2 linked regions of the Diceros bicornis minor genome follow. The protein of the gene in region 1 interacts with the protein of each later gene in a biochemical or structural test. Links are inferred from orthologs where the notes say so. Each region holds a gene or a part of one and is shown on either strand. Other genes may lie near its edges.

The links.
Region 2: the proteins of VDR (region 1) and HR form a complex in vitro, tested with the Homo sapiens proteins (2 studies listed by BioGRID and IntAct). The link is inferred for Diceros bicornis minor from reciprocal best matches to the Homo sapiens genes VDR and HR.

What each region holds. Positions count from the first base shown.
Region 1 is NC_080756.1:22,010,944-22,025,919, forward strand, and holds the start of VDR (vitamin D3 receptor), read left to right. Parts: upstream 1-7,679; 5' UTR 7,680-7,721; intron 7,722-14,976.
Region 2 is NC_080750.1:71,719,599-71,735,282, reverse strand, and holds the start of HR (lysine-specific demethylase hairless), read right to left. Parts: upstream 7,182-15,684; 5' UTR 7,121-7,181; intron 5,861-7,120; 5' UTR 5,822-5,860; coding exon 5,210-5,821; intron 4,500-5,209; coding exon 3,710-4,499; intron 2,171-3,709; coding exon 2,020-2,170; intron 1,942-2,019; coding exon 1,754-1,941; intron 307-1,753; coding exon 139-306; intron 1-138. Other genes in the region: protein HRURF, read right to left, coding at 7,292-7,396; REEP4 (receptor expression-enhancing protein 4), read right to left, coding at 14,740-14,805, 14,893-15,050, 15,198-15,333, 15,677-15,684. UniProt on the Homo sapiens protein: Histone demethylase that specifically demethylates both mono- and dimethylated 'Lys-9' of histone H3. May act as a transcription regulator controlling hair biology (via targeting of collagens), neural activity, and cell cycle.

The sequences.
Region 1 (14,976 bases):
AACAACATGGATGGACCTTGAGGGTGTTATGTTAAGCAAAATAAGCCAGACTGAGAAAGACAAACACCATATGATTTCACTCATATGTGGAAGATAAACTAACACACAGATAAAGAGAAGAGATTAGTGGTTACCAGAGGGGAAGTGGGTGGGAGGAGTGGATGAAAGGGATAAAGGGGCACATATGTATGGTGACGGATGAAAACTAGACTATTGGTGGTGAGCACAATGCAGTCTAAACAGAAACTGATATATAATAATGTATACCTGAAATTACACAATGTTATAAACCAGTATGACCTCAATAAAATTGTTAAAGAAAAAAAAGGGGACAGGGAAGTGGGATATCGAGATTACTTCAAGGACAGCACCCTGCTCAACATCTCCATCCCAACCCTGCAAGGAGCCAATAGCTGGCATTTTCATGACGGGGCACCCGAACTACTTGCTTAAATGTTCTCTCTCGACCCATCCTCATGCACATTTTGGGTTTCATCAGAGGGAAAGGCAGGGAGAATGCGGGGGAGTGTCAGCAAGTGGGATATTATTCTCCTACCTGGGTAGGTCCAAGTCAAAGACTCCTGACCATCAGCTCTGGATGGCCCTTAAACTTCCCAGCACCTGACAGATGAGGAGCCTGGTGATGAATAAGGTACAGAGGTATGTGAGGGACACTGGGGAGCAGAGGGAGGGCAGGAAAGAAAGTTCAAGGGAGTACTTGGCTTGTTCAGACAGAGAAGAAGAGTTGGCAGAAGGAGAGTTAAAGGTTAAAACCTTCCACTGAGGTAGGGCCTGTGAAGAAGGGATGGAAACCCCTGATGGTTCAGGCCTCTTCGCCACATTCTTTCTGGGCTTGGCAGCTTCCACTCAGAGGTCAGTCAAGCTGGACACCCCTCCTCCCCAGGTTCCAGGAACCCCAAATGAGCGACAACTCTCCTCGAGAATGTGGGTTGAAGGAAGGTCCTTGGTGGTGGCCAAGCTTACCCACAAATGGCCACCACACCTTTTCCTGCTGGTTGCCACTGCTCAGAGAGCCTGTCCTGTTTGCCTCTCTCCTTGAATCTGGTTGGGGGACTGTGGCATGAGACTATTGGCAGCTGTGGTCCCAGTTACAGACCATAGTGGAATTCTACCTGGACCTCGCCTCAGGCTCTGCTTAAATAAGCCAAGCGGGTCAAAGAATTTAGCTTCTCAGCCTTCAAGAGATTCTCACCGATACACAGTGTGCTTCCATTTCTCCACGAAGCAGAGGGAAGAGGAGTTTCAGGGTGATGGAAAGAGTGAGACGTGGATGTCAAGGCAGTAGACTTGGTTTCTAGTCCCTGCTTTGCAGCTCACCAATCATAAACGTAGGTGGGTCACCTAAACTTGCTGAACCCTCTGGGTCTAAATCCCACTGAGGTCTGCAAGGGAGGATGCGTTACATGATCCACTGGGTACAGGAGGACAGTATCAAAGGCTTCCTTTTTGATTTGTTTTTTTGTCTTAAAAAAATTAAGCTTTAATATGTTTAATATACAGACTGACACCAGCACCCTCACTTGGTCCTCTTATCAGAAAGTCACGGGTCAGGTATGCTGGATGAGGTCTCTGTGTGTGAGGAAGGAGTGTCAGGGAAGTCAGTAAAAAGTTGCAAAAGTATCAACAACATCATTTGAAATATGAATTTACATTCATTAATGTTAATGAGGAATCTCACCCTAACTGTATAGTATGACGAGATATGAGCTAATGATAGAATTTTGAAAATCATATTCAAATTTTTTTTTTTGCCAGTAGAGTTTTACAATCAATCAAGTTTAGAGACCACTTCTTGGCTCTGGGATGTGTAGATGATACAAAACAACACAACTCCACTGTCATTTACTCCAGAGTAAACCCCGCTGGAAGTGGAGGTGGACACCAAAAACAACAGTTTTGACAATGGTGACATCTTTCACAACACAGGACAATGGAGGCAAACACAACAGAGAGGGGCATCCGTGCTTTGTAGTATGTTTATCTCAGGCTAGAGGCCAAAGGCAATGGAGAAGAGCTGTCAACAGCCACATCTTCTGGAGTTGGGGCCCCAGGGAAGAGTTGTTTAACGCATTCCTGGGCTGCTGACGGAGTGTCCTTCCTGTTCTTCTGGAGAAAGACACAGGCGTGCCCAGGATGAGGCTTGCAGGGCTTCTGTTCATTGGTATGAAGAAAGGAGATCATTGCCTAATCATCTTCCCTGGAGACTTTCCTTTGGGGAAGGGGGGCTTCTTTTGAAAACAGTCAGCTTTTCCCTACTGACCTCTTCAGCAGTGATGTGACATTAACTGCACCGTAATCAGCGCCCAGGGTACCTACCCCCATGCCGCAGAGCCTCTCCACTTACCTCCCTCCCTAGGCTCTCCCATAAGACGCTTTTCCCCAGAAGAGCAAAATAAGAATTCCCCAAGGGTTAGGGGTCACTTTATCTCCTACTGGAGTCATAGTTGTTGCAAAACTTACAGCCACGGCAATAGATGTAGAAAGAACCCCAAGCCTCTTGTTTATTCCATGGATCTCTATGGTTGGAGTTGGGGCTGGAAGAGTCATCATTGTTGCTGGGGTTTGGATGGGAGCCCAGCAAATACCTGGGAGCCTAGGAGAGCTCTGGAGCTGCTTCTGCTTAGAGGTGGAGGGGGGAGTCTACACCTTCCTTTGTCTGGCCCCTAGGCTCTGCTTTACCATGCCTGCAGACGCTGTGTGTGGGCCAGCAGGCTGGCAGCCTAGGGCTCGAGGATGTGGGAGCAGGTGGGAAAGACAAGTGCCAAAAGCCCCGAGGAGGGAGACATGAGCTGGGCCACCGGGAATGGAGGCCTGGAGCCAGGCCGATTTGGATTGAAAAACCGGCGGTGCCCTACTCTTTCTGGGGCAGGCTGAGTCTGTGGATATTCACTTCTTATGGCCTTGCACACAACTCTCCTAGGGCTGTCTCGTTCTTGAGAAGTCAGGATTTCTGAGATGCCATGAAGCATCCTGAGGCTGAAAGAATCCCCCCAAGCTGGTGAATACAGAGCATGGTAAGATAACAGCTGAGTTAAGGCCACACAGGCAAACATTGAGTGGACACATACTGCCTCAGTGACCAACCCTGGCCTTGCCGCCTTGGAGGCAGGATCCTCCAAAGCCAGGGAGCCACTACGGGGTTCTGAGGGTGCTCTGTGTAAGTGAGGCTGGTCTCTCGAAGGCCTGTCTGGGAATCTCATGTTGCAGGTTCTAATTGAGAGGATTCCCACGGTGAGAGGGACTTTTTCAAACTTCGGGTCACAACCCATTGTGAGTTGTGAAATCAACTTGGTGGATCCCCAAAAGAAAGATGGAAGGAAGGGAGGGAGGGAGGAAAGAAGGAAGGAAGGAAGGAAGGAAGGAAGGAAGGAAGGAAGGAAGGAAGGAAGGAAGGAAGGAAGGAAGGAAGGAGGAGACAAAATAAAAAACCTCACAGGGGCCGGCCCGGTGGCGCAAGCGGTTAGGTGCGCGCGCTCCGCTGCGGCGGCCCGGGGTTCGCTGGTTCGGATCCCGGGCGCGCACCGACGCACTGCTTGGTAAGCCATGCTGTGGCGGCGTCCCATATAAAGTGGAGGAAGATGGGCACGGATGTTAGCCCAGGGCCGTCTTCCTCAGCAAAAAAAGAGGAGGATTGGCGGATGTTAGCTCAGGGCTGATCTCCTCACAAAAAAAAAAATAAATAAAAAAAATAAAATAAAATAAAAAACCTCACAGAGCATTTCTTGTTTCATAAAATTTATATACATGCATGGTATACGAGATCATGATAAAAACTTATTTCTTACTATGGGTTACAGTTAAAAATTTGAAAAACATTATTCTAGGAAGACCCTTTTGTTTAGGTTGATTTCATTGCTTATAGTTTTTTCCATTCATTCATTCCACTTTCACCATCTGGAACATAAGCAGAGAGAACAGTCCTAACAGGGGTTAGAAAAGATAGATAAGTTAACCTTTCCGGACTTAATATTTTTTTAATCTCTAAAACAAGGGAACTGACTGAGAGGACGGCCTGGTGGCTTCTGTCTCTATGAATCCATGACTCTGTGTCTCTCAGAATGTTCTTTGGGAGTTTGCTGAATTAGAGTCTTCCCTTCATTCCCACCATGCCCATAACCATAAAATATTTAAGGAGAAAAAAAGGCCCTAAAAAAGGGAAAAGCAAACAGTTAGATGGGAGTGCTCCAGAGAGAGCTCAAAGGGCACCTTTTTACCTGGAGAGCAGCCTCTGGAGAGCTTATAAACCTCTGTCCATGGGGACAGGGTCTCCGGGAACCTCACAGGGACAAGGTGATCCACTCCAGCTCTGGCACCATGGCAAGAGGTTCTGAGGGTGCCAGCCAGCCTTGAGGACAGTGACCAGGCTGCAGAAAAGAGGAGCTCATCTGCTAAGGATAAGGTGCAGCCCTGTGGCCTGACTGCAGGCCTGCCCAGGCCACCCGCAGGCACCCAGAGCCTGGTAGAGAGGCTGAGAAGCCAGACTCTGCCTTTCCCCAGATTTTGTGAAATGAAGTGCACAGGGGTGGACTCAGCCTGGCATCTCTGGAATCTCTCCTCCTAGGGAGGTCACACCTGGAAGGGCTCTTTTGTTTCTGCACAGACTGTTGAGTCTATAGCATGGTATCCTACACACCGCAAGCGCCTAGTAGATATTCCCTGATATAATTTTTCAGAGATGAATACTGACAAAAAACACAATCTGAACATCCTATAAGGACCACCACCCCTCCCAGGGACAAGTGAGAAAACAAGAACTGTTAACTTCAGGGAAAAGAAAGAGAAGATGAGTGTTTCCAGAGGTTCTGGTACATGTGTCCTGCAGCAGTCAAGCTAGAGGAGTTGAAAGCTATTAATTCTGTAGCACAGGACTGCTGCCTGTCATCAAAGTCTTCACAAGAACAGAATATGGATAGCAACCTCCCTTCCCAGTCCCTGGCTAGGGAGAAGCAAGATCAGGAGACAGGGAGTAATAACAACAAAAGCGGGAGAAGTGAATCTCATGTATTCCTGCTTCTCTACTTTCACAAAATTAAAATTCTTCCTAAGAATAAAGCTGAAGTGAAAAATCTACCTTTGTTCAATATAAATACAAGATGATTCATTATTAGGTGACAAACCAAGCAATATAGACAACACATGCTACAAAGACCAGAGAGTTGACAGGTCATTTTGGCCTGGAGATGTGGTGAGAGGCCTGATGTGATAGACAGGGCCTGAAAGAGAACAGGGTCTGGAGAGACAGAGGAGAGAGAGCAGTTCATCTTCCCCTCAGGTACTGGGGGAAGATGAACAGAACTTGGTTAAGGACACAGGGATGGGGCTGATGACAGCATGTGCTAGGGGCTGTAATGAAACCTATATCCTGCAAATCTGCCAAATCCAGAACCTCTGAGTTTTCCAAAGCTTGCTTACCTAGATTGTGGTCCAACAGGTGAAAAGCCCAAAGAAATATTTTTTGGGGGGGAGGCAGCATGGAACAGTGGAAAGTGCAGAGAGAAGTCCTGGGCTCAAGTGGCTCTGTCACTCTCCCGCCGTAAGAACTTCAACAACTCTGTACATCAGTGGTACAATGAGGAGAGTATTTTCTACTCCGTCTGACTCAAAAGGTCATGATGGACATCAAATGGAGAGCTGTGAAAAGACACTAACAGTCAGTTACCATGGAATAGTTAGTACTCATCCGCTATGACTTTTTTTTTTTTTTTTTGCTGAGGAAGATTAGCCCTGAGCTAACATCCGTGCCCACCTTCCTCTATTTTATATATGGGACGCCAACACAGCATGTCTTAATCAGCGGTGCATAGGTCCACACCCGAGGTTCTGAACCTGCAAACCCCAGGCTGCCGAAGCAGAGCATGGGAACTTCACTACAGCACCGGGCCGGCCCCCTCTACTACTTTTTGATAAGGTTTATTTTTAAGATGCCTGGGTCACCCATCTGGCCAATTAAGCACCACAAAAGTGGCTCCTGAGTGATCAACCTCTTACAGAGGCTCATGGAACTTCCTGAGAATGTCCCGAGGTGTTGACTGCTAGAGATTTCCTCTTATACTTTTTTTGCCATGAGAATCACTGCTAGCTTTCCCGTGATGCTTTGGGCAAGGGGATTTTTTTCTTTTACTTTCATTACAAGCAGAGAATCCATCCATCAGACAGACAGAACCTCCAAAGGGGCACGTCCTTCATCTGTTGCTCAGAATAGATGGTCCATTCCCAAGTTCAATCAAACAATCTGTGTCTCTTCTATTTTTCTTAAACCTTTCCAGAGAGACAGTTTCCACACTACTCCCTTAATGAACTGTTTCAGTGGTTAACACACTTCACTGTTTGAAGCTTCTGCCTTCTGTTTAGCTTCAGTCCATTTCTCTTGGTCCGATTATTGAGAGTTTGAGAGGGACTGGTTATCAGACAGTCTAGCATAACTGTTTCAGAGGCCAGGGCACCAGCGGACTTGCTGGGCTCTAGTACTGTCCTTCATTGAATGGCTGTGTAATGTTGGGCAAATCACTTAACCTCTCTATGCCTCAATTTCCCCCTATTTAGCTTGTCCCTCTGAGCCATGGTTTCCTCTTCTGTAAAAAGTGAATGGCAATATCTTCCCTGCCTAAAGGAGGTCACCAATGCTGGATGACCTTGTGGGCATCTCCATTGTAGAACATTATGTTGTAAGCACTGTTTAAAACTTATACATTCTCCTACTGGACAATGAGGTGGAAGAAGGAGGGAACCATGTCTTTTTCATCTATCCTGTAGCATCTAGAGTGGTGCCTAGTACATTGCCATGGAAGCAATTGGAGTAGAGTAATTTTTAGCCAAAATTTTTTATGGCGAGTTTTCCGCATCCACCTACAATTCCAGGTCTCAGGATGTACTCCTTACCTCCCTCCTTTCTTCACACCCATGTCGGGTAGGGGGATGGGGGGGGCTGGGGACCAGGGCCTGGGGAAGTTGAGACTGTGCTCGCTTGGATGAGGTTCGCGACGCACCGGGAACGTGGTCAGCCACGATCGCGGCCGAGAGGACATCGGGCGGGGGCGATGACGCAACTTCAGACTCCGTTTTCCGTTTACTCTTTTATCCTAGCGTGTGGGGTCGGGCTGGGCTCCCTGGCGCTCTGTAGCATTAACACGGCGGCGAGTGGCGCCCGGGATTTCCCACGAGCGCGGAGGGAACCGTTGGTGTCCGCGACAGCCGCCCGCCACCCCAGCGCCCCCCAGACGACGGAGGAGTCCTGGCCGGGTCAGCCTAGGTGCGGGTGACACACCTGGAAGAGGCGTCCGCAGCAGGCTGGGTAGAACCACGGCAGCGGGGATGGGGTGTGGGGGTGGGGGATAGGAATGCATCCCGGATCAACGCAGGCAGAAGCATGGACCTGCACACACATAACCATGGAAAACTCTCATGCACGGAGGGCAGAAGCCTGCCTTGCCCTACGGACGGCAGTCGTGGAGGACCACACCGGGCAGAGCCTCCAGGCGACGGTGCAGTGGTTGATTCCAAGTCAAGATGGTTGCAGCGCGGCTGGAGCGCCGGGCAAGCTGGGACTGGACCTGGGGGCGGGGCCCAGGGAAGGGGCGGGACCAGGGGCGGGGCCTTGCAAGGGGCGGGGCCAGGTGCTGGGCTGTCTCTGCTTGTCAAAAGGCAGCAGCCGAGCCAGAGGCGCCAGCAGCGCGGAGCAGCGTGCCCACCCGCCAGACCAGGTGCGGACCCCGGAGCGGCGGGGAAGGGGGTCCCAGGCTCGGGATTGGGCCCGGGCTGGGGGCGTCGGGGATAGTGGGCCTGAGTGCCCGGGTGCAAACACTAGAATCTAAGTCGCAGGGGCAAACTTGGCGACTGAGATCCGGGCTGTCGTGCCATGAGGCTGGGGCACTGAGGGGACACCGAGGTCTGAGAAAGAGCTGAAGTTCGAGCCAGGCTGGCCAGGGGAGCAGCGACTTCCTCCGCGCTCAGGCAGCCTAACGCAGAAATGCTCCACTAGCACACTTCCCAGCACTTGGGCAACAAGAAGCATTTGTTTCCTTCCTCTGTCGGGGCGCCCTGGCATGGAGTGGAGGAAGAGAAAGGGAGAGATTGGCTGTCGATGGTGCTAAGATGTCCTAGGGGTGGAGTGTGTGTAGCCTTATTATTTCGTAGGACCCAAGGATGATCACTTGCAATGGTAGAGTTGGATCTTTTAAGTAGAGCTTTTTTCTTTTTTTTTTTTTTTTAACCACTAATGATTTTAGACCTAGTTGGCCCTAGTGCACTGGATTTATTTTTTCAGGAGAGCCTGTCCCTAGATGTCCAGAGGAACTCAGGGGCAAGCATCTAAGCAAGGAGGGGCTCAGGGAGTAAGTTCTGTTTGGGGAGTGAGGGACCCCACCTTTGTGGGTGGAGGGTGAGGAGGATTCAGGGGAAGTATCTAGGAGGGAACAGCATGCTGTCTCGAGGGAGCAGTGGACATTGGCCCCCCTCCCCCCATGGACCACTGAGGCTGAGACCCAGGCTGCCTGGGCTGGGACAGCCCTGGGTCTCTGAGCCCGGGCCCTTCCCGCATCTCCTCCTCCTCCTTCTCCACCTCCTCTTCCTCCTCCTCCATGTGGTGAGTGAGTCAGCCTCCTGTCTGGGCTCAGTTGCAGCCAGAGGGGCCAGAGCCCAGGCAAGCAGTTGGGCAGGCATTTTCTGAGCTTTGCAGAAGCTCTCCTGGGCAGAGTTCAGCTCTGCTTCTGCTCCCTGCTGGAAGGCCGTTTTCCTCGTGGCTGGTGTGGCCACTCCTGAAGGGGACACCCAACATGGCAATGATAATGGGATGGCTATGGTATGATTCCAGAAGAGGTTGAGTGTGAAGGGATTATGGCTTTGTGGTAAATCCACATCTCTTATCCTTCTCCTAAGATCAGGAGGGGCATCCCAGCACTGCAGATTTTCCAGCCCCTCATTCCATTTCTGCCGAGTGATCTTGTTAGCAGCCGACGTCTGTTAGTGAGGTGGCTGTGCACAAGAAATCGGGAAGGTTCTGGGACTAGGGAAGCCATGGTGTTGGCAAAGAAGGTTTTTAACTCAGGCTAGGAAGTGGGGGTGGTTTGCTAAGGCGGGAATGGATTATCTGGACCCCAGATCCTCAACTCTATGAACTGAGAGTGTTTTGTGCTGGGGGACGTTCCTCAATCGGTCCCTGTCCAAGTGCTGGAGGGGGTTGTGGGTCCTTCTGAAATGGTGTCAGGACTGATGTGCAGCCAGACCAGGAGGTAGTAAGACTGCAAATTTTTCTCTGGCCTTTGTTTTGGGTGCTTCAGATCCTTGAGCAGCAATAGGAGCCCCAGAGCTGATTGCCCCCTACTCAGTGGCCTCTCTGGACCTATTTGAGAAGAATCCACAACCAGGCTGTGGAGCTGACTCAAACTGTAAAAAGCTGGGGAATTCACAGTCTGTGCCCTGGCTGGGTCCCATGGCTTTGGTTTGGCTGGTCCCTGGTCAGCCACAACTTGGACCCTTTCCAGGGTAAAGGAAGAACTGGAGAGTGGGATAAGGAAGAGAGTTAGGAAGCTTTCTCGACCCCTCTCAGTTCTTCAGCTAAGGTAGTCACTCGTCATTTGTATAAATATTGTGGAGGGCCGGCCCCGTGGCTTAGTGGTTAAGTGCGCGTGCTCCGCTACTGGCGGCCCGGGTTCGGATCCCGGGCACGCACCGACGCACTGCTTCTCTGGCCATGCTGAGGCCGCATCCCACATACAGCAACTAGAAGGATGTGCAACCATGACATACAACTGTCTACTGGGGTTTTGGGGAAACAGAAAAGGAGGAGGATTGGCAATAGATGTTAGCTCAGAGCCAGTCTTCCTCAGCAAAAAGAGGAGGATTAGCATGGATGTTAGCTCAGGGCTGACCTTCCTCACACACAAAAAAAAATTGTGGAAAGTCTGGTGCTGTTTGGGGTGCCTTGGTGATTTGTGTTTATGGTTTCTCAGTCTTCTCCCCTTACTCAACCTCAGACTGATCCTCTTTTTAGAACTAAGTCCTGGAGGAAGCACCAAGAGGACCTCTTGGACCCCCACCCTCCACTCTCAGAACAAATAGCCAGTGTGCAAAACCAATGTCTTCCATGTTTGGAGGAAGGCCTGGGGCCTAGTGGGCCAGACCAAGTGGCTATCCAAGACAGGACAGGGAGTCCCAGTCGTTCAGTTCTTTACCCCACATCCTATGGGGGCAGCGACCTCCTGGTCAAGAGCTGCCTCTGGAACCTCTGCTAGAAACCTGCCGTGGCCTAGTCGGGTTCTAGTGGCTGGAGAGTCAGAGTCAGGGGCACTGGAGACTCTGAGGTAGGACGGCATGCCGGTTTGTTGCTGGACAGGATGATTCTAGGACTCCAGCTTTCCATTTGTAGCTGCTGCAAGTCTGTTTTGGAAGCAGGAAGAGGGAAGTAAGGAAATAATGGGATTTGATTAGGAGCGTCTTGTATGCCCAGCATGGTGCTCGGCCCTCCGAGGGATGACAGGAAGCAGAACCCACGAGACCAGACCTCTTCCCCTGAGACGGTCTGAACCCCAGGGTGGGCAGCACTCTCGGGCTCTCTCTCCATTACTGTCTGGTTCTGAGAGGATCTAGCTGGACACAGCTGCTGGCTGTGGCTCTGGACCTTCAGGGCGTTGTTTTTAGTTATGCTTTCCTCTGATTCCTCCGTGCACGTCTCCTGTGTCAGTGCCCTCCTAGATGGGCTAGAGACAGTGACCATCTAATTTATTGTCCAAACTGGGATACTTTTGAGAGTGAAAGGGGACGCTATTTATAGTTATGTGGGGACATTAGAGATAAACCAAAACTGTCCAGAGCAAACTGGAACATTCAGTCATTCTAGTGAACACCACTCCAAACCCAGTGGAGGCCACAGTGATGAAGAGAAGATGGGTGGGTGTGGGTTTAATGAGGAGAAGAAGATGGGGGTAGTGCTTAATGATGAGGGGAAGATGGGGGTTGCTTCATTCTGAGGGCAGCCTCAACACCCCAGCCTGCTCCCTGGGGTGCAGCCAATTGCAGTCTTATCCTTGAGGGCAGCGCTGCTCCCAGCCACTCTCTCCCAGGACCCAGCCTACTGCTCGTGCGACTTCCCTTCACCCTTGACTAGTGACTGGCCTCGCCTTTGGTTTTCCTGCCCCACCCGTACCTCAGACAGGGACAGGAAGGCCTGCCAGCTCCCCTTCAGCTGCCCCTAGGGGAATTGGGGTTCATACTGGAGCCAAGACATAATCTCATGCTTCCTCTTCCCTCTTCCCCATATCTGCAGCCTCTTCATTTTGTCTGTCCAGCTTCCAGACCTCTGGGGGCCACACCATCCCCCAAGAAAGTCCAGCTCTAAAGCAGGTAAACAACCAGGAAGGGCAAGGTAGTCAAACCTCGCCCATGTGGGAAAAGGGCACAGGTCACTTGTAATCGGGTTCCTGGGAAATGTTAAGCAAAGTGGAGGTCAGAGCCAGAGAGAAGCTTCTTAGCAGCAGATGGGGTCAGTTCCTTTGGACACTGGAGTCTGACTCTCCAGTCTGGTCGGACTATTGGGGAAATGGTCCAGGGTGGGGACAGACTGTTCTTGCTCAACCCAAGCTATAGGCGTTGGTGGCAGCAACTGCATCCTGCCGTGGTGACGTGTGGAAGAGAAACTGCCCCCCTTCTGAATCCTTGGTCTTCTTGGTCCAGATGCTCGGGGCAGGCTCCCTGGAGAGTCCCCAGAGGTCGGGTGTGTGAGTGATTGGGGTGTTGGGCGTGGTGAGGTGGAATCTTCTAATGACTTCGTAATGACTCTGTCTGCTGTGGCAGGAAGGAAATCATTCTCATCAGCAACAAATGAAAAGGGCAGGTGAAGCCTTCTTGGGAAGTCTCGCCCTTTGAGGTAACTTGTGGGGAGGGGGAAGGGGAGAGACCCCCTGGGCTGGCAGGGGTAGGAGGAGGTGGCTGGTCGGTAAATGGCGGGAGCAAGAGGTAGAAGCAGCAGGCACTTGGGGAGTCTGAGTGTGTGTCATGCTTTTGCAAACCTGCCCTGCAGGTCCCACGCCAAGGAATAGACCAAGCAGTGTTCCCAGAATCGGATACCACACAAAGTCCCCATTCTGCACAGGGAGAGTCTTGGTCCTGAGCAGGGCGTGGGCAGCTGCACCAGCGGGAAAGTGGAGTTTGGGCAGGACCCGGCAGCCAGTTCCTGGGAAGCTGCTGCCTCTCACTGGCCTCCTGATGACAGATTGAAGCTTTGAGGTGTTATGCAAGATGTGACATTCCAGGCACTGTGGGGCACCCAGGAGGCCCAAGGCTTTGCTGGTGACACACCCAGTGTGTGCCACCTGCTGGCACTGGAGTTGTAGCTCCAGGAACAGCTACTCACTGAATGCTCAGCTCAGTTATACCAGGTGCCGTGCTGAGTACATGGCCCACGTGGCCACCCAGACCTGCCACATCCTGGTGAGATGGGAACCACTGTTATGTTCCTTTTACAGATGGGAAACTGAGGCTCAGTGAGGTTTGAGCAACGTGCTAAGGTGACACAGCTGGCGAGTGGGAGAGTCAAGACTTTCGCTTGGGTCTGTCTTAACCTCTGTGGAACTCTACCACGTCTGCATTCATGGGCATTCACGGGTGGCCACAGGGCGTTTAGGGCCATGACTTGCACACAATTTTTGTTGTTGTTAGTGCCATCTAGTCAATTCCAACTCCCGGCGACTCTGTGTACAGCAGAGCAGAACCCTGTGCTGTATTTTTGCTCCGTCCTCTCACCTTCTGGCGCTGTATCAGACAATGCTCCACTGCTATTCATAGGGTTTTCATGGCCCCTTTTTTCAGAAGTACATGGCCAGGTCCTTCTTCCTAGTCTGTCTTAATCTGGAAGCTCCACTGAAACCTGTCCACCATGGGTGGCCCTGCTGGTATTTAAAATCCTGGTGGCACAGCTTTCAGCATCAGAGCAACATGCAGTCGCCACAGTATGACAACCGACAGACAGATAGTGTGGTTCCCTGACCGGGGAAGAAACCCCGGCCGCAGTGGTGAGAGCGTGGAATCTCAACCACTAGACCATCAGGGCACATAATAGGCCTGCAGTAAACATTTGTGAGCAGCAGGGTTAGATTTGCTGACTAGTTTGAGCAAGTTGGCCTGGGAGCAAGCTCAGTTTGCCCACATGTGACTCCAGGGACAGTGGGCTCTCAGAAGAAGGCTCCCTCTGCCAGCACCCTCAGGCCTCAGTACCTCTCCGGCAGTCTGGGGTACCTTACTCAGGCAAAAATAGACAAGAACCTGAGAGAGGTAGCTCTGTGCAGAGAGATTGCATGGCATCAAAGAAGACTTGAATGGTCTGGAAGGCAAATAAGAAGCGCTCTTTCAGTTTCAAACAAGCCACTTTATTGATAACCTGCTATGCTAAGTGCACCAAGGAAGAAAAGCCATGGTCCCATTGGCCAACTGGAGCTATTCTCACCTTGCTTACGTATTCCCCTCCTGGCTACTCCTTCAGGAACCCTCCTGAGCCCAGGCCACCTGGAAGGAGAAATGGACTCGAGCCTCATCTGAGAGCTTCTGCCTGGTGCTGTGCTGATCACTTGTCTTCTTTAATCTTCCCAGCTTCTCTTTGGAGTAAGTTACTGTTGTTCTCTCCAGCACGTATATGGGTAAATCAAGGCTTAAAGAGATGCAGTAACCTGCCCATGGCAACAAAGCCAGCCCGTGACCACTGTTCCACACTGCTTGCTGGTGTTGGGCTTGACCGTACAAGCCACTCCAAGTGCCAGAGCCAAGAGACAGAGGTAGGAGGAGGAAACGCTTAGCTTGTTCCTCTGCTGACTTGTCCCTCAGCTGTGGTTCCCAGGGTTCCTTGGTATATGACTGAAATCTTAGGCAGTGCTGTTAGAAGCTGTGCTATCGGCCTGGTGGAATAGGAGAAACACGGGGTTCAAGTTAGACACACTTGGGTTCAAATCCTGGCTTTGTCACTTTTTAGCTTGTGACCTTGGGCAAGTTTCTTAATGTCTCTGAATCTCGGGTTCCTTATGTGTAAACTGGGGGTTTAGAGTTGCGTGAGGGTTAGAGATGATGTAAGTCAAATGCCTGGCACAAAGGAGGCCCTTGAAAAGCATGTGCAGACAGTCATTCAATAGATATAGACTTCATATCTAAAATGAACAAGTTGTACTAGATGAGTTTCTAAAGCCCGTTTCAGCTGTAGTAATTGCATTGTCCTTCACGTAGGGACCTGGTTTCTGGCTTACGTGTGCACCTGTCTGATGTGCTGTGTACAGGTGGCTGCGTACACGCCACTGCCTGACTCTGAGAGCCCTGTGCAGGGTCTCCCGGTGCCGTTGAAGCCCTTCCTCACTGGACTTCCACCAGCAGTGGGTGAGGGATCCCTTGGTGACACAGCTTCCCCACACTTGGCATTCTGTTCGTTTCAACAAAGAGCCTGGTGTTAGTGCTGAGCACATTCTAGGTACTCAGTTAATACCCACAGAGGTATATTTTTGCCAAGTGGATTGGAAGGGATGTATACTTTCCTTGGGCACCGATTTTGAGGAAAGGACATGAAAGTACCAGAACCGTGTGTCTGCCAGCTAGTCAAAGCACGTGGGGCCAGAGCCAGTGATGGGATGTACATCTGTCCAGGGCTTCTTGATCATTTAAAGGCTCCAAGGGAGGTGAACTGAAGTTTAACAGTCTCCACTGGCCAACTGTTCGGAGCCTGGCCTTGTTCTTTGACCCTCTGGCTTGTCCAATCTGAGAAGCAGGGGGTGGCTGGAGGGTTGGGGTGGAAAGAACAGGGGAGGTGCTGTGTGGAAAGGAGCAGAATGCCCACAGAGAATCCCTTCCCATTCCAAGGATTGAACACACTGCCTGGGGTCGCTGGGGAAAAGAAGAGTTAGATATACGTCGCGTCCTGGCAGCCACATAAACAGCCAGCTGCCCACCCACCCAGCCACCCACAGGACAGAAGAATGTGGCTGGCTA
Region 2 (15,684 bases), on another chromosome or scaffold:
GGTGGCTGAGGTGGGGGCTAGGAGGGGAGGGAGGCTTTCCTGGGGAGAGGCAGCCAAGGAACGGCCACAAACCTTAGAGCAGCCCTTCCCAGGCCCTGTCCCTGCCCTGCCACCTTCGGCTCCCAGATGCTTTCCCACCTGCTCTCTCCCTGGCCCTCCCAGCACCCGCCATGCGGCCACAGGCCACACACAGCCGGTGGCTGCAGCGGGGGCATCTCCAGTGGGTGTTGAAGAGTCCGTGGTGGCAGCGGCTGCAGCAGCGTGGAATGCCTGGGCTGTCGTCTGTCCCGGCTGGCCCCTGTCCTGCTGACCGTGGGAGAGAGCAGGGTCAGAGGGGGCTCAAGCCACAGGCCCCTTTTGATGACCTCATGTGGGAGTCCTCCAGGCAGGGATGGGGAGAAGCAGGGGCAGTTTCCACCGAGGGGCTGCCCCAGAGGGGAGACAGGCCCCCTACAGACACCCTCACTCACTTGGCTGTCCCTGTAAAGAACCTCCCGGCAGCACCGTCGTCTGCAGCAAACCCTCCCAGGGACAGTGCAGGCCTCATCTCCCCAGTTCCTGCGCAGGGAGTCCCCAATGGCCCTGAATTACCAATCCACACCACTTCCAACACATCCCTTCACCACCTCCCTCCCTCACTCCCTCCCACGGTGGTCCTTCTTCAGGGGACTCTGTATGTCAAAAGAAGAAACCTTAGGAGGCCACTCCTTCCCTCACCCAGAGTTTCAGACTAAACTCTCACTGGTTAAGTGGAAGGATGCCAGCGAACACACATTCATTTACTCGTTCAACAAACACCTTGTCTTGTCCCGGGCTGGGTGCTGGGGATTCAGAACTGGTCAGGACTTGGCACTTGCTGTCCCAGCGCTCACATTCCAAGGAGTAGACGGACCCATAAACGTGGCAATGATTATGGCACCATGGGGTGGGTGGGAGAATGAGAACGGGATGGAAGGATGAGGGTGGGGATGTTGGGGCAGCTGCACAAATGGGCCCCGAGTGATGAGTAAGTTTTCATTCACCAGGTAGAACAGGAGGAGAAGGGCATTCCAGACAGTAGGAACGAGAGTGCCAAGGCCCGAGGGCACAGACAAGCTCAGGTGAGCCGAGAAGGAGGGCGGTGTGCCGGGAATCTGGGCTGAGGGAGTGGCAGGGGAGACGGGGCCAGCTGACGAAAGGGAAAGGGGCTGGACTTTCTGGGACAAGAGGGAGCTACCAACAGGCCCCCACCCAGGGAGTGACAGGACCTCAGGTGTGGTACTGTGAAACGGACGCAGGAGGGAGAGCCTCGAGCCAGAGGGACTAGCTAAACGCCTTGTGCTCCACCAGTCTCTAACCTCAGCCCAAACCCTACCAGCCTCCTAGGGCCGTGAGCCTCGCCACCCTGGACGCCTTCCTTATGGCACAAACTTGCAGGGAGCTCCTCTACCCTCGAGAACTCTTAGAGACACTTGGCACTCAGTCTTGTTTCCCCAGCAAGCCCAAAAGCTCTTAGAGAGTTGGGCTGGACCAGGTTTACACCTTCCCAACATCCCCCACCCGGGCCAGAAACTTCAGAATGTGTGTTGACTAAGAGCCTTAGCCGAGAATAAGGGCAAAGCAGGGCAGGAGCTCTCTTGAGTTGGCGGCTGGACAGGCAGTGCTGGTGGGAGGGAAGGGCCCACTCTCTGCTGGCCCATGTTCCTCGTGAAAGCACAGTGATCACAGGACCAGGCCCTCGCAGGGTCCCGAATGCCCTGTGGGTCCTGCTCACCTTCCCGCTGTGCCCAGGCCAGGGCTTCCCGCTCCCTTCGCAGCAGGCGGCACAATCGGTCCCCCAAACCACTTAGCAGGTGCTTGGCAAGGCCCGTGCTGAGCCGGGCCTCCAGGCCAGACCCTCCTCCCTCCTCAGAGCTGGCTGCCGAGTCTTCCTCCTGCTGCTGCTCCCCTCCCAGAGGCAATCTGGAGACAGGGCAGCGGAAGGTGAGGAGGGAGTCCTGAGTAGGAGGATGCTGCAGGCATCCAGGGGCAAGGGCTCACCTCGGTACTTGCTGGGAGTGGCAGGCCAGCCCTCCTGCCTCTCCAGCTGCCTGAGCACAGCTTTGGCACTGAGCAATGCTTGCCGGGGGAGCCGAGCAAGGTGTATCCTGAAGCCCTGGGTCCTGGAGGCTGGCCCTGCCATCTCGGGGTCCTGAGAAGACAATGTAGCTGGTCAGCAGTCTGGGCTCCCTGGGCTTATGCGAACCTCAGGCCCTGCCTTAGCACCCAGCCCGCCCACACACAGAGCCAGCCCAGTCCCTAGGCCCTGGCCTATGATGTCTGGTTGGGAACCAGCGACAGTGAACCAGGCAGCTAGAAGCCTCGTAAATAAGGCTGAGTGGGGAGCCTGACAGTGCTCTGACAGGGACTGCTGGGCCGAGAGGAGGAGTCTGGGTGCTGAGCCCAAGGCTGGGGCAGGTGGGGCAATGGGCCTGCCCCAAATGCAGGATCCAGCCAGTGCAGACTTTGGAGAGGTCCACCGTGGGCTGTGACACCGCTGGCTGCATGACAGCATGAGGAGACAATCCCAATGTGGACGGAAGGTGCCGGAAGGTGAGAAGGCTGGGCAGTTTCAACATAGGCCACAGGTGCAGTAACCCAAGAAGGCGGAGGGGCCAGCAACTTCCCAGCACAGGCAGGGGCCTGGGAGAGAGTGAACAGAGCCATGCCACATGCAGGGGTGCTTAGGCAAGGCCATCAGGAAAGGCCTGGGGCCAGCCTGGTGGCATAGTGGTTAAGTTCACGTGCTCCGCTTTGGCGGCCCAGGGTGCGGGGTTTCAGATCCCGGGCGCGCACCGACGCACTGCTTATCAAGCCACGCTGTGGTGGTGTCCCATATAAAGTAGAGGAAGATGGGCACGGATGTTAGCCCAGGGCCAATCTTCCTCAGCAAAAAAGAGGAGGATTGGCAACGGATATTAGCTCAGGGCTAATCTTCCTCACACACAAAAAAAGAGAGAGTGAGAGAGGCTTGATCCAGGCCCAGAAGTCCAGGAGGCCAAGAAACTGAGGTGATCCTGAAGAACGGAGGCTGGGGCCGGCAGTGCCAGAGCCCTCCGTGAAGGGCACAGTGTAACAGAGGGGTCCAGGATGTGCCCAAGGCCCTAACATTGGCAGAGTCCAAACTGAATTTCCATGATCCCAGCTGGCCAAGAGAGTAGTTCTTTGTTCCTGAGGCAGGACAAAGGGTCCTTCAGGAGACGCAATCCCCCAGATGGGGATTTGTGGCACAAATAATCATAAAGGTGAATGTTTATTGAGTGCTTACTAAGTGCCAGGAATCCTTCAAAGCCCTTTAGGTGAATTAGATCATCTAATCTTCACAGCAGTCTTATGAAGAAACTGAGGCCCAGAGAGGTGAAGTAACCAGCCAGAGGTCACATAGTACCGATCAGCAAAGTCAGGACTCAGCACTCTGACTCAGAGCCCATGCTCTTAACCATGTCATTATACTGCCGCCAACACATCATGGCTTCGGAGGAGGTGAATGGAAACAGACGGCACTTGGTGGAAGGCTCTGGCCTGTAGATGCTAAGGAACTCCCAGAGAGCTATCACAACTGGGAGGGAACTGGACAATGGGGTGTGATCCACTCATAATGGACCTACTGACCCCACCTCCCTGCAAAGCCCCAGTCCTGGCCGCCCCCTCCCACGTAGGGCCCCCTGCAGCCCCTCCCCCGCCCCCTTACCTCTGTGGTCATCACGCTGTTCTGCCTCCGCCTTGTTCCCAAATGACGAGTCCAGCACCTCCCGCCATCCTCTGGCCCCTTGCCCCGTACTGCCTGGGAAACGGTCAGGTGGGCGCTTGGCGGCTGGGCTTCCCACTGCTCCCCAGATCTCAGGGCTGCTTGCCCTCTTGAGGGCCCGCAGCTGGGCAGCTGGGCTCTCCTCATCCCCGGGGCAGCCGCCTGGGCACCCAAACTGCTCAGAGTGTCGTGTGAGCCATGTCTTCTTCAGCTTGGTGTGATGGCTGGGCAGGCAGGCCCTGGGACCAGGGTCCTTGTTTGCTTCCTCGCTGGATTCACTGGGCCCACTGGTGCTTGCCTCCAGGCCCTCCTGGCACTTCCCACAAGAGCCAAGACTTCCATCTCTAGCGGGTGGGCAAGATGAGCAACAGCCCACTTGGGCGGTAGGAGGCCCAGGAGAGGGGCACTTTAATGTGGCTGACGGCCCCAGCTGGTACCCAAGTTTCCCACCCCCTGGGACAGCCCAGATGTTGCCAAGAGTATGAACCAGGCCTGGGGGACAAGTGGGCCAGGAGGTCCCAGGAACAGTGTCTGGATGCCCGAGGAGAAGTGGGCAAAGATTCTGGTGCCTGCCGACTCCTGTCTCTCCATCCCTCTGGTGGAGTGAAGGGCGTTCCACCTCCCCAGTTCTCTGGAGATGCCCACCAAGGGCTGAGCCCAACAACCCAGCTTCTGTAGTTGGCAACGGCTCCTTTGCCAGCCTGAGAATGCTTGGATCCTTGTGGTAAAAGCCCTACAGAGAGGAGAAGGGATTAAGCCAGTGCTGATTTTGGTTCCCAGTGCTTAAAAGGATGAGTAGAACTGACCACCAGCAGGTGTGCACCTGTGTGGCCTTAAGGGTTGTGAAAATACCAAAGGACTCACATACTGGTTAATCAGTACTGCTCTCCTAAGTGCCTCTTCACTGCCCTAATGACCCCCAGACCTCCCCACAATCCAGCAACTAAAAGGCTAATGGCTAGCACAGCCAAAGGGCCTCTAGAATCTATTCAGATTGTCTGATGCCCTGTACCATACTGGGTTTTAAATATTTTAAATCTCATCCCTGGCATGAAGGTCGCCTCTGGGGGAGGTGCCGTAGACATAGACCATGGGGCCACCCGCACATCCCACTCCTGGAAGGAAGGCCCTGTTTGCCCTCCTCAGGGCAAGACCACATGTTCTGAGGCCCTGTTCCCAGGGCCTTGTCCTGGGCAGACAATGGGTGAGTCAGTGCCCGAAGAGGCCCGAAGGCAGGGAAGGCCTCGTGAGATGGAGCTGCTCAGGGGGGAACTGCCTGGGGTTGACTTTGTCTGAGCTGACAGGCTCCTCTACTGGGTGCTGCCTTATCTTTTCGTCGGAATGGACAGGCCGAGTGGCGCAGCCCTGGCAGGGCTGCTCAAGGACCGCTGAGCTACCTTGCGTGGCCTGAGCCCCAGGTACCTTCTCTGCTCCAACACTCACCTTGCTTCCTAAGCTGAAAGCAGAGGGCACTTTGGGCTGGTCCCCCAAGTACACCCAGGGGTGTGGAGCCACAGGCCAGTCACATGGACGTTCTGGTGGCAGGCTGGACACTAGGTGGGGTGGTAGGCAGGTGGGCACCCAGAAGGGGGCTCGCTCCAGGATCTTGGTCTCCAGAAGGAAGGGGCAGTGCAAGGGCCGGAAGGCCACAGTGTCACTCTTGGGATGGCCACCGCTATGCTCAGGAAGCAGGGGGCCACAGCAAGGTGGGGACGTGGACCCGCAGAATGCCAGGGGATGGGTGAGCACAGCTTCCTTCCAGCGCAGCCCCTCCTTGCCACCTGGCCAGCTGGCCTCCCTCTCCCTATTCTGGCGGCCTTCACCCTCCACCAGTGGGATCGTGTCCTTGGGGCTCTGGGGGAAGCCAGGGGGAAGCCAGGAGCCTGGGGTGCTCAGGAACCCCCTCCAGAAGGGAGCGGGCTCTCCTAGGCACAGCGTCCCACGGCGCAGGCTCTCTCGCAGCTGAGTATCCAGCTCCTGTCTCACGATGCCGTTCTCAGGGGCCGTCTTCTCCCAGGCCGGGGTCTCCTTCAGGAAGCTGGGCATACTCTCCATCACTCTCCTGCCCTCATGGGGCTCTCCCAGAGGAGGTCCCTGGAGCATAAGCACCAAAGCATGAGCTTCTTAGGCACGTGCCTCAAGCAGCCTACTGCCTGGTACAGAGTGGGTACCGCCCTGGCAGCACCCAGGCGGCTCAAACCAGTAAGGCAACTGCCAACCCACAGCTGGGCTCCATGCTGCCTGCTCACACGCAGCTTGAAGGACCCGCCTGGGTGGGATGCTCCAGTGTGGGGAAGTCACTTCTTCCCCCTAATGCCCGGGACTTGACAGCCCGCCTGGGCTCAGCAGAGACTGCCATTTCTAGGATGACATGTTCCAGCCTCGCTGAGCCTGGAACCTGATCAGAAGCCATGGGGAGGGACAGGGGGCAAGAACCCAAAAGATGAGCTTGGAGGAGGGCACTGCAGGAGGAGACAAGAAGGCTGGATCCTGGCTCTGACTCCGTCACCCACTACGTGACCTTGGGCAAGTCACGTCACCCCCCACGGCCTCAGTGTAAAATAAGCCCTGGAAATATGCAGTCTCAGAGGCTTCTTCCCACATTGCAGTCTGTGGTTTTGGGGCACTGCTTGCTCACCGCCACCCCTCCACCCCACCTAGGCGTGTAGGGGTGGGAAGTGCAGGCAGGGCACGCTGGAGTTACTGGGGAGAGGCTCCAGGCAGGGCTGCTGGCTGGTCTCTCTCCCTATACCTGGGCAGCCGGGGAGAGCCCAGGCCTCTTCCCAGCGCTCTACAGTTTCTTGGCTTCTGAAGCCGAGTCCCAGGACAACTGCTGGGAGCTGGGATCTCCACCGCAGCCCCCCGAGGGAAGGAGAGGTGATTAAGAGGCCTCCGCTGGGATGGGTCAAGCTGCCCCAGTCCAGCCGGCAGTGCCAGGGCCAATGGCAGCCGCTGGTAACTGCAGCCTGGCCGGGGGAGGGAAGGAGGCGGGGAAAGCGGGCTGGGCTCCAGAGAGAGGCAAAGGAGGGAAAATTGAACGTGCGTGCAAAGTACCAGGATGACAGGTGGCACCAGAGCCGCAGCGCTCTCAGCGAGGCGCCCTGGGCCAGCTCGGTGAAGCCCCAGAAGGGCGGTTAGGGAGCTCAGGGAGCCGTGATACAGGGCGCTCGCGTTTTCTGGGGCCACCGCTCCAACGCGATCCAGCCCCAGTGGGCATCCTAACTATCAGATGTGTGGCCCAGCCCGAGGAGCACGGAGAAGTCACTCCCTGCGTGTGGCCCGGGGTCGGCTCAAAAGTGCCCGCTACGAGTGTCCCCCAAAGGCAGGCCCCTTGCGCCCCCTCTCCGAGCTTACCCGGGCTTCACGGGACGGGCGCGGCGCCGGCGGCGGCGGTCGTCGTGGCCGGCGGGCGCCCGCTCCCCATGGACCGGCTCCGGGGCCTTCCGTCCGACGGGGGAAGACTCGTTCTCCCGCTCTCTGCTCAGCGCACTCGCGCGCTCTCTCCCCCGGGGCGGCGGGGGCGCTCTAGGACCGCAGGTTAGAGGGATCGGACTCCGGGATCTGCAGGATGCGGCACACGGCGCGGATCGGCCGCACCAGCTTCTGGGCCGAGGCCGTGGGTTGAGCCATGGGACGCCGAGACTCCGTGCTGCGCCGCGGGGAGGGCCGGGCCGGGGCTGGGGAGCGGGTGCCCCCGGAGGGAGAGAGGGAGCCGGGCCGGGGGGAACGCGCGCCCCGGGTTGGAGATGGCCGAGAAGGGGGAAAGGCCGAGGGGCCGGGGGAGGGGATTGTGCCTGGAAGGGGGGCCGATCCCGGGACCCAGGAGAGAGGCACCGGCGAGCGCGCAGCAGGGCGCAGCGCGTCTAATGGAGCGAGAGCGCGGCGGAGAGCGCAGCAGGACCTCTGATCGCCATCGCCAGACGCGCAACTGAGAGTGGGGAAGCTGCTCTGCCGGTTTCCTCCTCCAGCACCCTGCGGGAAACAGGAGCCCGTGATTCGGCGGCCCCGCCTGGGCCTGCCCCCTCCCGGGCCCTGGGGGCTTCCGCCAACGCCCCGGCGATGCCACCGGCTGCGCACAGGGAGAATGAGCCCTTTGTTCACCCCTCCCCCCCACGGCACCCGGGCGCCTGCCGAGAGAGGCTCCCCCGGGGCAGCGTGCCAGCTTCCCAGCAGCCCCACCCTCCCGTGGGCCCGGCCCCGGAGCCTGGCAGGCGGGCAGCACCCCCACTATAGGTGCCAAGCCCGGGAATTGGAGCAAAGGGCGGGAGGGGCCGGACTGGGCCACGGTGGGGCGGGGTGCCCCTCGGGGTGCTCGGGCGAGGCCCCTGGGAGGGGGCAGTGCCAGAGCTGGCAGGGGCAGTGGGGTTCTCGCGAGTCAGTGATGGGCGCTCTGACCCACACCAGCCGCCCCAGGCCTGCTGGACCACTCGCTCCTGGTCCTCTCCAGCTCTGGCACGTGGGCACACCAGGCCAGCCGGTGTCTACCCTGCCTCATCCTCACCTGACCAAGCTGCTGTTTATGTTCCCACCCAAGCTCCCTCTGGCCCAGTGGCGCAGTGTCCTGTGTTAGCAGTTCTGGCAGGGCCTGGGCTCTAGTCTCCCTGCTCTATGGGCCTCGGTTTCACCAAGTGTCTGGAAAGGAGGTGGGTCCTGATGAGCTCTACCACCTGCTCCAGCCCCATGTTCTGGGGGTCTGCCCCATCCTGTGTTCTCAGTGCTTCCAGGCCCAACATTGGAGAGGAGCCCATGGGAGTGGCTCCTGGGAGGGGACAGAGAGGAGGAGAGGAAATGGGAAAGCAGGGCACCCTCCACCCTCCACCAGAGGAAGCATCCTGGCTCCTCTGCGGGGGTGGTTCCACAGCACAGACACAAACAGACAGATTCTAACACACACAGACAGATTCAGACACACACAGAAACCCACACGCCCAACGGGTACTTCCCTTCCCCTCAGGCACCCACCTCCCACCCCGCGACTCCTCTGCCTCTGTGTGGAAGCCATCCTCGGCCTGCCTTCACCAAACCTGGGCAGAGGCAGCACCACCCCACCCAGCCCCATCCCATCGAAGGGATGAGTTCCCGGATGCCTCCAGCCTGGTCCCAGGTCACACCCCTATCCCTGGAGAGGGGAGCCATGAAGAGCCGTGAGGAGCCTTCCTCCCAAGAGACTGGAAAGGAGGCAGTTGAGGGGAAGAGGAGGGGTCCCGAGGAGAGGAGGCCTGAGGGGCTGGCACTGGGCATGACTTGGGTCATGTTGGCATAGATTCACCCAGCCCCTTTGCCTCCCCACAGAGGCCGGTTCTGTGGCAGGGCAGGCTGGTAGGGGTTGTTTACATGACTGAGTTATTAACACTCCCTTCCTCCCCCAGCTCCCCCGAGGGTGGCCTGGACCTGAATGTGCCAGGGGAAATAACTGTGGAGGGTCTAACACGGACTGCAATCCCAAGCCCCTAAGCCCCAGCCTCTGCTCCCAGGCCAGTTCTAGGGTTCAGATGAGGGGCTGGGGTGTGCCTGTGGTCCCCCATCTGTGTCCTCTGGCAGCAGAAGCTTGTGGGAGAGTGGGGGAGGGGGGTAGATTCCTGCCGCTTGGGGCCTACATGAGGCTGGGCAGGGCAGGATAGGAGCCTGGGCTGTCTGGGGCCCTGATGGCCTGTCACTATCATCCCCAAAGGGGATAGGGACTGTCCCGGGGGAGCAGGACAGACACCTCCCCCCACCCCACCCCCAGTTGCTCTGTCTGCTTTGTTAGGTCACAGTCTCTGGCCTAGACCAGGAATCTCAGGACAGGCTTCTGAAATGCCCAGGGGCCATGGGGGGTGGGTGGGCGGAAGAAGCCCCTTTCCATCCTCAACCAGCTCCCAATCCTGCTCCCCAGGCCACTGAGCCTTGTAGCCGGCTGTTCTGTGCCTGAAGACAGAGCAAAGCTGAGGAGACACACGAAAGACAAACACACAAGGAAAGCCACACATGCGTGGACACAATGCTGGATTCGTGGACCAGCAAGCTGACCAGCGCCCCCAGCCGCGCGTGGGCCCTTCCCCGGCCCACCTCGACCCCACCCCGACTCCTGGAGCGCTGACACACACACGCTAATACACACATTCATGCTGACACGCGCAGCAGCAGTCAGAGCCACTGCCCTGGCACTGTCCCCAGAGCCCCTTACCTGGGCAAGCACTGTGCCCCTCGGGTGGAGCAGCCCCCTGCCCAAGGGAGGGCAGCAGGCGGGGGCGGGGGAAGGAGCCCCGGAGAGTCAGGCCAAGCTGCCACTAATCCAGGCAGGGAGGAGGGGGGTACCCACGTCAGAGCGGGGACTGCCGGGTGGAGGGCATCTGAGGACATCCCCTCCCACACACGCGGCCGTCTGGGCACCTAGCCCTGCTTCCACAGCCCCTCCATCCTTCAGACAGCTGAGGCTGGCCTCCCCCCACCCCACCCCCCACCCTTGTGGCAATGCCTGGGGTGCGGGCAAGGGGGAGGGGGAGTATTGAGGGGAATTCTCCTAGGCCCTGGGGGAGGGGGAGAGGAAGGGAAGTGTGGAGATGCTCCTGGAGCCAGGAGGAAGCTCTGTAGCCGATGCCCCCTCCCCTCTCGCCCACCCAACCCAGGTCCCTGACCTAATTCCTCTTCTCAGTGGAACCTTCCCAGTGCCCCTCCTCCACCCCCCAACCTCCCCTCCCCTGCGATCCAACCACCCAGGCCCCAGGCCCAGGACCTTCTGCCTAACAACGCCAGCTCTGGCCCCCTGGATTTCCTGAGCAGCAGGCATCATCCTCCTGCCTGGATTCTGCCCCCTACCCAGCTATTGGCATGGCAGTCCCTGATGTGGGTGGGGGACAAGGGATGAGAGCCTGAGTGCTCATGTCCTCAACCTCCTCAAGGGTGGGGCAGTGCCAGCTAGGACTCCCCAACTCAGCCTGGGCCAGGGCCGTGTTTAAACAAGAAGCTAACTACATAGCCACCACTGAGAATAGCAGCTAAAAACACAGCAATGGGGCCAGCGCACGTGGAGGAGGCCAGGATATGGAGGGGCCACAGCCTGAGAGGGGCCAAAGAGGCAGGGAGAGAAAGGAGCCACCTGACAGGTCCAAGGGATGGTGGGCTGTGGGGAGGAGGGAAAAGGAAGGCTAGAATGAAGGGCCACCTGCACCTGGGAACCTGGGGGCAGTGGAGGAGGCCCTCAGAAGCAGGCAAGGCGGGTGCGGAGGCCGAAGAGTGAGCCCACAACCTGAGTGGGGCTGGTACCTAGGCCAAGCAGAGGTCTGTGATTCCAAGGGGGCTGGCCGAGGCTGCTTCATCTCCCTACCCAGTGCCCAGCCTGGAGCCTGGCACACCTGTGCTCCAGGCCAGTTGGAATGGAGGTCCAGCCCTGAGCCTGCCTGGGGACGCAGTGGACACACTGGAGGATAACAGAAGGTTGGAGGCTGTAGTCAGGCCAGAGCACAGCCTACCCTCCCCTACGGGTCAGGCCAGAGAGGATGAAGCCTGGGCCAGGAACCCCATGCAGAGGGAGGCAGTGCTGGGCAGACGTTTCAGTGATTCTCAAAGAGACAGGGCAGCCTCTGAGGGAAGCCCAGCCCACACCCAATGCCCCAGTCCCAGGATCATGTGTATGCATGGCCAGAACAGCCCCAGAACTTGGAATTCTCCTTGCCCCTTCTCCTCTGGCCCCAGGATGTCTCACAACCCACAGGACTGCAGCAGTCATTCGCCTGTGGTGGGCACCAAGGAGATGCAGGGCGCGAAGATGGAAGCACAGGCCGTCCCCGCCTTGACGAGCTTACACTTACTCATGGATTTGTTCTTTTACCAGCAAACTGTCACCGAGCCCTCTTAGGTGTCAGGCCCTGTGCCAGGCACTGTGGGGTGACTACTGGAGTCAGGCAGGTTAACGAATGATTACAAGGTGCTTCTAGTCCCACCCTGGGGAAGGCGGCGGAGCCTCACGGAGGAGGTGATGCTGGAGCTCAGAAGTCAGAGAACAAGTGGGCCATCACCAGCCACACATGTACTACAGTTTCACTTTGGCTAAACCAGCATTTGTTCCAGGCTGGAATACAAGTGAATAAGGTGCAAGTCTGTTCTTCATGCAGTCACAGTGCAGTACGGGAGAAAACACCATATGCTCAAGGCAGAAATGGGTCCGTGCAGGGGCAGAGGCGGCGTGGTCTGGATGAGCAATCAACGCAAGGGGGCAGGGGAGTGCTTACAGGAGGGCTTCCTGGGGGAAGTGATGTCTGAGTGGGGTTCAAAGGGCAAATAGGAAAAGAACAGTTGGGTGGGGGAGGAAGAGCATGCCAGGGGAACAGCATGAAGCCACGAGATAGTGGCGATTAATGAGGTGGGGAACACGGAGCAATTCACCTGCGGAGGAGGCCAGTTGGGAGGGGAGGGAAGGGCGATGGGCACACCAGCACAGCCCATGGCATTGTGTGCCCTGGACAGGGTGAGCAGGCCAGAGATCAGGAGCCTTAGGAGCTTGAGGAGGGGTTGACAAGTCAGGGAAGGCTCAGAGAAAGCAGATCTTGAAGGAAGGCCAACGGGCCTGGAAAGAAAGACTGTTTGGAGGGCAGGAGACTCATACGGCTGGAGCAAAGGCCTGGAGGCTGATGCTGGGATGATTGTGCTGTGCTCAGGAGAGAGATAGGAGCAGCGTGGCCAAAGGAGGAGCTATGGGGCAGCAGGGGCAGCAGGGCCAGTGAGGAAGCTGCGGGGTGAGGTGGAGATCACGGACCTGAGGAAGCATCACCAGTTCAGCCCTGGGGCCAAGTGACCCTGGGAATGAGGGCAGGGGAAGCCCTAGCTTCCATGGAAGTTCCCTCACCACCCCACAACTTCAGGCCTCCCCCCAGCTCCCTCTTCCTTTGAAGTTTTGTTTCATTCTGCCTGTTCATCACACGCTCCTCTGTTTTGTTCTCCCAGTTCAGGGCTGTGGATCTTGCCATTCCACCTCTATCAAGGCAACTTCTGGACAGGCTTGCATCAGGAGACAGGGCCCCGACTCACAGGCAGCACAACCGTGGACAAGTTGCTGCACTTCTCTGAGTCTCAGTTTTTCCACCTGTAAAATGGGTATAACCCTACCTAACAGGCTTTTTGTGGATAATTCAAGGAAATTATCTCTGTAAAATGCCCAGCACAAGGTCATGCACACAACCTATGTTTGATACATGCTAGTCTCTTTCTCCTTGCTTCCCAGGCAAGAAACATCTCATTTACTTTAGTCCTGCACAGTGGTTAAGTACACTGACTCTGAAGCCAGACTGGCTGGTTCAAAGCTTAATTCTGCCACTTACTAGCTGTGTGACCTCAGGCAAATTACTTGCCCTCCTGGTGCCTGTTTTCCCATTTGTAAAATAGAGATGATAATAGTACAGACCTCTCAAAATTGTTGTGAGGATTAAATTAATATGTGTCAGGGGCTTAGAGCAGCACATTCTTGGTGCCAGCCGTTACTAGACTTTGCATCCCCAGTATCTCGAAACATGCCTGGTACCTGGTGGACACTCAATAAGGATGTTTCGAATGAATAAATGAAGAGATAAGGGATGCAAGGGAATGCCAAGAGAGTAAGTCATTGACCACCAACATGTGAGGAGCTAAACCACCGGGGCAGATTAAGTGCCTCCCCCAAGTGAAACCCAGATAATCCCCACACCAGGAGTTAATCCACCCTCCTGAGGCCACTCCCGGTTACCACATCCAGGCGCAGGAGAGGGCAGAGCCGGCACCACTGCTCCAGGAATTAGAGGAGGGGATGGAGTGGAGCCAGCCCAGGCCAAGAGCCTGGGTCTCAGGAGAACAGAGGAGACTCATGGATGGGGCAGGCTGAGGACCGATGACCACGAGCAGCAGGGAGGAGCAGCAGGGAGGAGCAACGGTGGGGGCGCCATTGGAGGCTGGGTCAGAGTTCCCCATCGTCCCTCCAGCCAGCCAGTGGCCAGGCCCCTACAGGGCACGGCTCTGGCCAGCCTCCAAGCCCCGCCCTCCTTGACCTGGAAGCTGGGGGCAGCCCACACCCTGGCAGCTGCTGCCCTCTCGCGGCTACTCCACAGACATGCAATGCTCCCAATGTTACTTGCGTGTTTACAGGAACTCAATGCTCCTCCCCCACAAAAGCGCCTAGAGACCCCCCTCAGGCACATGGAGGAAATTGGGCTCCCCAGGCCTAATCTGAGCACAGATCCAGCTAATCCCCACAGGATTATCATGCTGCCTACACACCTTCGCTCCCACTGGTTTCTACTTCCCGTCAAGGTCCAATCCTATCTCCCCCTGACTGCGGTCTTCTTAGACTCTGATCTCTCTCAGGGCTGGGCCCCGACTCTCCCATCTGTGTTCTCAGAGGTCTCCGAGAGCTTTCCATGACAGTACTTGCTGCATCACAACTATTTTGTCAATGGCAATCTCCCCCAGAAGACTGGGCCCCTCTGGCAGTCTGCCCCTTTAGCCCCGGTCCTAGGCCGGGACTGGCCTGTAGCAGGCTGTTAAATAACGTGTGCTGTGAGGACTGGGAATACAAACCAGGAGAAACAGAACACTTTCATGTATTTAGTTATCAAAACCTGAACAAACCTGACCTCATCCACCAACACAAAACATACAACCAGGACACACACACAAGGCCTTGGAGAAGGCTGTCAAGTACTTTGAAGGACAGGAAGGAATGAACAGAGCTGGGTGGGCTTTTGGTTTCATTTGCAGGGTCTGGGGAGGGCTGTGGTCCCACACCTGGGAAGGTAGAGGAATGAGAAAGGCAATAAATAGAACCGTGGTCCCAGCCTGCTTTGGTACATTTGGGTGCATCCCCGTGCATGGCCCCGACAGCACCTGCCTCTGGGCCTGAACCAACAGCAGGAGCTGGGAGGGCAGAGCCTGGGCAGCTGGTGCAGACAGGCCAGACATGCAGCCAGAGGTCCCCTCCAAATAGCCCTCAGCACCCTGCAGGGCACGAGGGCCGGGCTCTGCAGACCCTAGCTGTCCACGTCTGAGGGCATGGTCTTTTTCTTTGTCCGGACCTTTAGGGAGCGTGAGGTGCCCTGGGGGAGAGAGAGCAGGCACACCATGAGAGGTCTGGGCTGAAGTGCCAGGGCTGCCGCCCCCCTTGCGTCTTCCTTGCCACTGACCTCCCGAACCAGCGGCTTCTTCTTGCTCACACGCAGGCTCTGGCTGCGGCTCAGAGGCTTCTCTCGGTGGGGCCGGGTTGACGGCTGAGGGACTACCTCTGTATCCGACCAACACTCACCCTCCGTGTCACTGTCCTGGAGGTCCACTGCCCGGTACCCTGTGTGGAGGTGAGGGAGGCCAGAAGGCTAAGCTGCGCATTTACACTGTCTGAAGGCCTGGGGCCAGCCAGGCCTTCTTCTAGCCCTGCAGGAAGCCACAGCTTGCATGGAGGAAGCCATTCCTCTTGGGACAGTTGCCCACTCACCGATAGGTGGCCTGCAGCGGGGAACCTGGTCCTCCAGGTAGAGGGGATCCCGGTAGGTGGGGGCAGCAGTGTCGGGGATGGAGCGCAGGTCCTGCATGGAGAAGCTCCGCAGCCTTCCAGCCAGCGCACCCTGACTCTGCAAGGGAGGGGGAGCTCTGCATCACCTGGAGGGAGGAGGAGGGCTCCTAGCAGAAAGGGACCTCCATCAGGGCAGCTACCCAGGGAAGTCAAGGACTGACCCGCAGGTAGTCACTGGGGCACCAGCCCCACAGAAAGCAACTCAGCAAGCTTCTAGCTCTGGGTCTTTGTGGCACCAACAGGAAACGAAGGCCCAGAGAGCAGGAGCGGCTGCTCGCAGAGCCAGGGAAGTCTGGACTTTCAGCTCCATGCTCCTGCCAACACCCCCGTCACCCCTCACCCCTGTTCCCCAGCACAGACAGCTGCTATCTATCAGCTCCCTGACAGTGAGCTGGACTTGCCCAAAAAG